2 linked regions of the Oryctolagus cuniculus genome follow. The protein of the gene in region 1 interacts with the protein of each later gene in a pairwise test. Links are inferred from orthologs where the notes say so. Each region holds a gene or a part of one and is shown in the gene's direction. Other genes may lie near its edges.

Region 1 (3,500 bases):
CCCAAGGACTTGGGCCATCTTGTACTGCTTTCCCAGTCTATAGAAGAGAGCTGGATTGGAAGTGGAGCAGCCGGGACTCGAACTGGCATCCATATGGGATGCTGGAACTGCAGGTGGTGGCTTTATTCGCTACACCACAGTGCCAGCCCCAACAGACTAATTTCTCAGTTGATAGTTCTGTGTGGCCTGAATGATTCTATAAATACCCAAATGACCCTTGGCAGAAAAAGCTTTCCCAACCTCATCTAAATATAAGACTGTGCTTCAATACGTGGCCATCAGAAAGCTCTGCATGTACATAGACCATATGAGTATGCCTTGCAGGTTCTCTTACTTGAAGAGTCAGCCCTAAAATGAGACTTGATGCTTTAAATCCACGAAATAGCAAGTATAACTCTTTGTTCATATTTCTGCTTGCCAGTCTCCTGTCCCTGACAGCATGGCCCCTTACTTTAGTGGTTGAGGTATAATATTATCTAAGTGATTTGCCTGTGTGTGTATGTGTGCTAATTTTTTTTCTGGAGTAATGGTGGTTAATATTATAGGTATGAAGGGAATGTAAAACCATATAATTTTTAATCCATACTGTAGGCACTAGTTTAAGATCGCTTAGGATGTAACCTTTTTCTAATGTATCTAATTAGCATATCCAACTCTTTGAATTGCATCATTACTTACTAGAACAAGTTTAATTAGAAGATCCTGAAATTAGTAACATGTTTTCAGGAACCACTTAAAACATTTTATTAACCCCGTTAAGCAGCCATCAAGTTTTATAATAAAGGAATAAGAGAAGAAAAAAATTACTTACTACAAAATTAATTTTACTAATTCAGAATCTTCAATTTTAGTTTGCTTAATGATATACAATACTTGCATTTTGTGTTTGGTATTTCATGCATCGCCATGCATATACTAAGGAAAATGTTTTCTTTAATTACATTTATTTTTCCAGTTAATTAGATTTTCTGCTTTTTAAGTAGATTTTTCATATCATTAACACATTCATTTCAACACCAAAACCAAGACCATTTGGATGGAATTCTTTTTTTTTTAAGATTTGTTTATTTATTTGGAAGGCAGAGTTATAGAGAGGCAGAGGCAGAGAGAGAGAGAGAGAGAGAGAGAGAGGTCTTCCATCCACTGGTTCACTTCCCAAATGGCTGCAAGGGCTGGAGCTGGGCCAATCTGAAGCCAGGAGCCAGGAGTTTCTTCCCGGTCTCCCACGTGGGTGCAGGGGCCCAAGCACTTGGGCCATTTTTTGCTGCTTTCCCAGGAGCATTAGCAGGGAGCTGGATTGGAAGTGGAGCAGCCAGGAATTGAACCGGTACCCATATGGGATGGCAGGTGCTCTGCAGACCTCTTTATGGGTTTCTTTTAATATGCAAGCATATATACTTACCTTCCTAAGTACTACCTTTTAGGGTAGTACTCTTAACACTGTTAATCTGATAGTGGTGATACTACTGACTCTCTGGGATCTATTTGGGGAATGTTCCTTAACAAAAGTAATTCCATTTTATAAGAATATTAAAAGATTTTTTAAATTTCTTATTCAGGTGGCATGGAGACAGAGATAGAACTGTCTACTGGTTTATCTCCCAAAAGTAACAGCTGGGGCAGAGTTGAGCAAGGCTAGAAGCTTGGGACTCTTGGGGAGTAGCAGGGACCCAGCTGCCTGAGCCATCACCTACTGCCTCCTTGGGTGCATATTTGCAGGAAATTGGAATTGGGAGCAGTCAGGATTCCCTCAGGCATTCCAATATGGGAAGCTGGGATCCAAACCAGCAGCTTAACTGCCAGGCCACATGCCTGCTTCACATTTTGCTTTTAGTAATCTCATTCTACAAATCTCATTCATACAAATCTCATTCTTACAAAATGTTGGCATGCTTCACTTATTTGCTTCTGTCAGTGAATGATTCTCTCAATTTCTTAAATTTTCTGCAAATTTTATTATGTTGCTTTTGGTTGTATTTTGGATATGGATTATAAGACAGCTTGTTACAATTATGTCCCATTTCTGTTTCTGTTCTGCATTTGCCAGCACTCAATTCTGAGTGAGACTTGAGAGCCTCACACAATTTCAGAGTGTTGGTGTTCTAGACTTTGTGATATTTATTTATGTATTCAGGGATCTTTATTGCTTAGTACTTAGTTATGTATTATATATATAATTTCAAAGTATCTTCAAAAAGCACATGGAAAGTGTAACTTGAAGAACTATACATGGGTTCAAGGTATTTTTTTGGTATCAAACTTTATCTTTTAATGTGATTTTTCCATGAACTTTCTGAAATACCCTTCTAGTTGCCAAATCTCGAACTTTTACATGAATGAGGTATTACCCATTAAAAAATCTTTAGGTAGTATTTTTCTAATTCCCTATTTCCACTTATTTTAGAGTATGCCAAGATGGAAGGAAGCCCCATACAATAAGATTAATAATTCGTCGGTTTTCATCTGGGAAGCTCTGTGGTCGTGAGAGTCGACAGTGCCCTATCCCATCTCATGTAATTCAGAAGTTAGGGACAGGTATGACTAGTTTTCTCAGAATTTAATATTCAATTTGAACTCTAAAAAAAGTATACTTTGAGTTAGAAATATATGGAGGGTTTTCATAGAAGTCAGCAGTTAGGTATTTTTCTATCAGAAATTTTCACTGGAAAACTGTTGTTTTTAAATAAATAGTAAAAGTGAGGATTCAGACTGTTTTCCATGTTTAAACAAAACCACTACAACTCTATGCCATGTGAGGTAACTGATTTATGTGCATATAGATTGCATTCTTTGTTTCTGCTATTATGAAAAATGGTTCTGTAGATAATTTATGTACAAACTATTGGGTGGATTTGTTAAAAGTCTATTCAATTTTGTGTTTATTTTGCATCAGTCATGATAATTTGTATCTTCTGGGAATTTGTGCCTTTCACCCACGTCATTAATTTGTTGACATGAAGTTGTTAATACTACTGTTAGTCCTTTAACTTTTTGTAGAATTTATTGATGTTTCCACTTCCATTCTCGGTTTTGATAACTTACATCTTTTTTATTTTGGTATTTTAGCCAAGGTTTATCAATTTTGTTATCTCCATTATTTTTCTGTTATGGGCCTTTAAAAAGTTCATAAAAATGCATCTTTGAAGAATACCATAGGGCTTCAAAAATTTTTTGCACCAAAATAAATTTATCTTTAAATTTTAGTTTGATCAACTTTTTGAAACATTTTTCTATTTTTCTACTACAGTTGTTTCCTGATCCTTACATTTTTTCTGTTTGCTTTAAGGTAAATTTTCCTTTCCCTCCTGGTTTCTTAAGATAAATACCTAGGTTACTTATTTTATAGTTCTTTTCTAATTAAAGTTTTATATTTCCTTTTTTTATAAATATTTATTTATTTACTTGAAAGTCAGAGTTACACAGAGGAGAGGCAGAGAGAGAGGTCTTCCATCCGATGGTTCACTCCCCAGTTGGCCGCAACAGCCAGAGCTGCGCTGATC
Region 2 (4,143 bases), on another chromosome or scaffold:
CCAGTTTTGCCAATTTTTTTTTAACGGAAATACTACCATTTAGAAATTACCCTTAAATAAAATACACCCGAATTCAGAGGGTTGCCACTGGTTTTCGGGGCCATCTCAGCATACGACCTCCTGGTGTTGGCAGCTTGTGGGAAACCTGTTGAAAATCCACTCTTGTTTGAAATTGTGACGTCTCAGAACAGTAGCAGGAGTGTTCTGGGTTAGCGATGAGAATACTGAAGCCGAAGTAGTTTCACCAAGGGCTGTAAAATGGCAAAATAAAACGGAAGCAATGGGGCGGGGGAGGGGAGACACAAGCAGTCTGAATATTTGCGCCTCCCCAGGGCGCGCGTCCCTGGCAAACTCCTCCGGAGTATCTGAGGCGAAGGAAAGTGCGGCACGGACACCGGCTTCCCCTCGCGCACGGCGAGCAACGACAAACCCGCACGGCCGACGCGGGGACGCAGTCCTGACGGCGCGCTGTTTGTAGAAAGCCCCAGATCAGAACTGTTCACGCAGCCGTGACGAGCCACGCACGCGAGTTTTCCTTTTTTTATCAGAAGACCGCTCTCCCGTGTAACCCCAAGACCGCGTGTGGGACGGAACCCCTGCCCTCGTGTGACAAAATCCAGGCCCCACGCGGGACGCAGGACGGAGCATGGCGTCCGCGCCCTGCGGGAGACCGCGCGAGTCCCCCAGAGCCCGCGGCCGAGCCGTGTGGGCCGAGTCTCCATGGCGCCCCGACCAGGCGCGCGTCAGAGCGCGTGCCTCTCTCCCGCCGCTAGATGTCGCTGTGAATCAATGGCTCGTGCCGGGGGCCCGGCTTGAGACAGCACCAGGGTTTCAAGTCCCCGGACTTGTGTCCTCCCGTCCTGGGGAGCCCCGAGTCGACAGAGGCCGCCCCCACCCCCGAGGGCCCGCGACCACAACTGGACGCGCGGCGGTGACAGCGCGCAGGGCGGAAGGCGCGATGCGGAGGCGGACCCACGCTGCCCCCGCCAGCGAGACGGTCACGTGTCGCCCAGGCGCTGCCCCCTGCGGGCGGCGGCGCGAGAGGAGGGCGGGGCCGGGAGGGGCGGGCTGCCGCGCCGCGCCAGGCGCCCGGGTTGCCCCCGCCGCGCGCGCGCGCGTGCGCGTGTGTGCGCGAGCCGAGCGCGTGCGCCGCGCGGGGTGAGTGCGCGTTGGTGGGGGTGGGGGACGCGGCTGGTAGGCTGCGCGCGCGTGCGCGCACTGGGCCGGCCGCCGCAGCTGGGGCGGGGCGGGGCGGAACTGCAGCGCGCGCGCCCGCCGGGGGGGAGGGGCAGGTGGCGCCGGCGCGCGTCAGCGCGCGCGGGCCGACCGCCGCGAGTGTGGGGGGAGCGTGGACCGCGGCGCGGCGGCGTGACTGCTTTCCCGCGGCGAGGACACTGTGCGGCGGCGCAGCCCCGGGGCCCGCGAAGCCGGAGCAGGCAGCCGCGTCCGGGCATGGTGGTGTGGGGCAACGCGGAAGGTGAGCGACCCCCGGCCGGCGGCGGGGTGGGGGAGGGGCAGGGCCGGACACGAGTCGCCCGAGCCGGCCGCAGAGACGCGCCTGGCGGCTGCGGGCCTCCTCGAGCCCGGCGGGGCGGGGGAGGGGCGCGCCGGCCGCGGGGCCCGCAGCCCCGTGCGTCCCTCGCGCGGCCTGCGGCTGCCCCGCGGCTCCCGCTCCCGCGCCGGAGCTGCCGGGTTATGTAACGCGTGACCTCCGCTTCCCCGCCGCCATGGCGCGGCCGGCCCCGGCGCCCGCACACGACCGCTCCGTCGGCCCCGCGCGCCCGCGGCCCTCCCCGCGCGTCCCGCCGGCGGACACCTCCCCGCGCCGCAAACTCGTCGCTGCTGCCCCTGCTGTCGCGCCGGCGCCCGGCCGGCCCTTCCGTCCCGCGCCATTCATTCGTGCGCGTTTGCGGGCGTCCGCAGAGCGCTGTCGGGGACCGGCGCTGGCCCGCAGGCCCCCGCGCGGGGTCCCGGACCCCGTCGGGGAAATACCCCCGGACAGTTTTTGGGCACTCCTGGCTTGTCCGTCCCCTCACGTGCTGGGCGCCTTTGCCGCGGCCCCCGCAGCCGCCGCCGCGGTGCAGCCGGTGCGTGTGCACTGCGCGCTCTGCGTGTGCCCAGTTTGTGAACGGGTCTCCTTGCTAACAGCTCTCAGGGCGCGGATTCTGTCTTTCATCTGTTTAGCCCTGTTTTATGGTAAACAATACATTTCTGTTAAGAGGTTTTTTTTTTTAAAGGCATGGGAGTCACTTTTTAGGATTCATGTCTGTGAAGGCTCAAGTAGAAAATAATGTTTCGAGATAAAGTGCTTGTGTAGGGTCTCTCCATGCCCCCCGCCCCTAACTTCATAAGAGAGAAAGAAAGAGACCTGCGCTCCCAGGTGCAGCCTAGTCGCTAAAGTTACAGGGGTCGCGTGGGAGGTGTGTTTTGATAGCCCCGCTTTCTTTTGACAGCTGCTGTAATAGAAAGACGAGAACTTCAGAATTAGATGTGGGTTTGAATTCTGGTTTTGCCACTTATTAGCCATGTGACCTTGGACCAGGTTACTGGTATCTTTGATTTTTTTTTTTCTCATTTATAAAATGAGAACTTAAGTTCCCACTTTGGGTAGCTGAGGATTAAGTGAATTCTTCAATGTAAGGCATCTAGTGAGACCGTGGTATATAGTGGGTGTGCAATAAATCCATATTCCCATCGTCATACTTCCTTACTGAAATCCACAGTTAGAAGGAACCAAGGTGTTCTAGAGGGGAAGTGTGAGAGGAAAGCTAACCGGAAGAGAAAAGCCGCACTCTTGTTTGCATCCGCATGAATACCCGAACAAGTCCTAGACTGGGATATCCCTGGTTCATTCTGCCTTTCAAGAATGTGTATGTGTGGCATATTGTAAATCACAGGGTAGATTAAACAAAACGTTTAAGAATGAAGAGGGGCCTTTGTAGCGGGTAAAGCTGGTATCCCCTTACGGGTGCTGGTTCTTGTCCCAGCTGCTCCAGTTCCACTCTAGCTCCCTGCTAATGACTTAGGAAAAGCAGCAGCAGATGGCTCAGGTATTTGGGCCCCTGCCACCAGCATAGGAGACCTGGATTTAGCTCCTGGCTCCTGGCTTCAGCCTGGCCCAGCCCTGGTTGATGGCGTCCATCTGGGGAGTGAACCAGCAGATGAAGGAACTTGGTCTCCCCCTCTCTCTGTAACTCTGACTTTGAGATTCATAAATAAATCTTTAGTTAACATGGATATTAATTGCTACTAAAGAATAATTTTTTTCCCAATGCAACTCAGAAGGAGGTGGGAGGGGAATGAAGGATGTTAAAAAGTCTTTTTCAGAGGCAATGAATTTGCAGGCCCTTTGAGTATCTAATCTACTTGTCAGCTGCACGTGAATCCTAGTCTACTTCCCCAGTATTTCTTGCTGGACCTGGTGAAACAGTGGCTTTGCTGGAGGTGGTATTCCTTATGGCTGACTACCCCACATGAGAATCAGTGTGATCTTTTGAAAGCTAACTCAGATTGTTTCTAGCTCGGAGTCTCCTGAAAGCTTCCTGTTAACATTGCATCCAGTCCCTTACCCCAACCCATCTGGACGTGAGGTGATTGGGCACCTGCTGACTTCCATCCCTCATCTCCTCCCACATGACTCATCTCTACTCTGGTCTTTCCTTGGATATTAGACTTGCTGTTCCCTTAGCTGGACCACTCCTGCCTCAAGGTGGTCTTGGCTCTTGCCAGTGCAGCTTCAGTTTGCTGCCCAAATGTCACCTGAGAGAGGCCCTCCCTGGTCCCTAAAGGAGAAGAAGCCAGCCCCCCTCTATCACTTTTGATTCTTTGTTTATAAGTAGGTGAAGATACAGTATTTTATTATTTATTGATTTCCTCTCATCCCCATACTACTCTGATCCCAGGCCTCTTCCCAATTAGAGGACGGTGGCCTGATTTGTTCCCAGCTCTGTCTTCAGTTCTTAGAGCTGTGCCTGATAGGTAACAGGCTCTCAGTAGAACTTGTTAAGTGAATAAGTGGTGTAGTGGATTTGAACGTTGGCTCTGCAATCAGTCATATCCTGGCTCCTAACATTTACTGTTTGTGTGTCCCTGGGCATGTTAGTAATTTGGTGCTTTTCTTGTCTGTAAGGTGACTGTAATACC

Evidence for each region. The genes of interacting proteins can lie anywhere in the genome.
Region 2: the proteins of POLI (region 1) and REV1 interact in a two-hybrid assay, tested with the Homo sapiens proteins (2 studies listed by BioGRID). The link is inferred for Oryctolagus cuniculus from reciprocal best matches to the Homo sapiens genes POLI and REV1.

What each region holds. Positions count from the first base shown.
Region 1 is NC_091441.1:23,995,033-23,998,532, reverse strand, and holds part of POLI (DNA polymerase iota), read left to right. Parts: intron 1-2,404; coding exon 2,405-2,535; intron 2,536-3,409; exon of another isoform or gene 3,410-3,500. UniProt on the Homo sapiens protein: Error-prone DNA polymerase specifically involved in DNA repair. Plays an important role in translesion synthesis, where the normal high-fidelity DNA polymerases cannot proceed and DNA synthesis stalls. Favors Hoogsteen base-pairing in the active site.
Region 2 is NC_091433.1:108,956,831-108,960,973, forward strand, and holds the start of REV1 (DNA repair protein REV1), read left to right. Parts: upstream 1-1,343; 5' UTR 1,344-1,477; intron 1,478-4,143. UniProt on the Homo sapiens protein: Deoxycytidyl transferase involved in DNA repair. Transfers a dCMP residue from dCTP to the 3'-end of a DNA primer in a template-dependent reaction.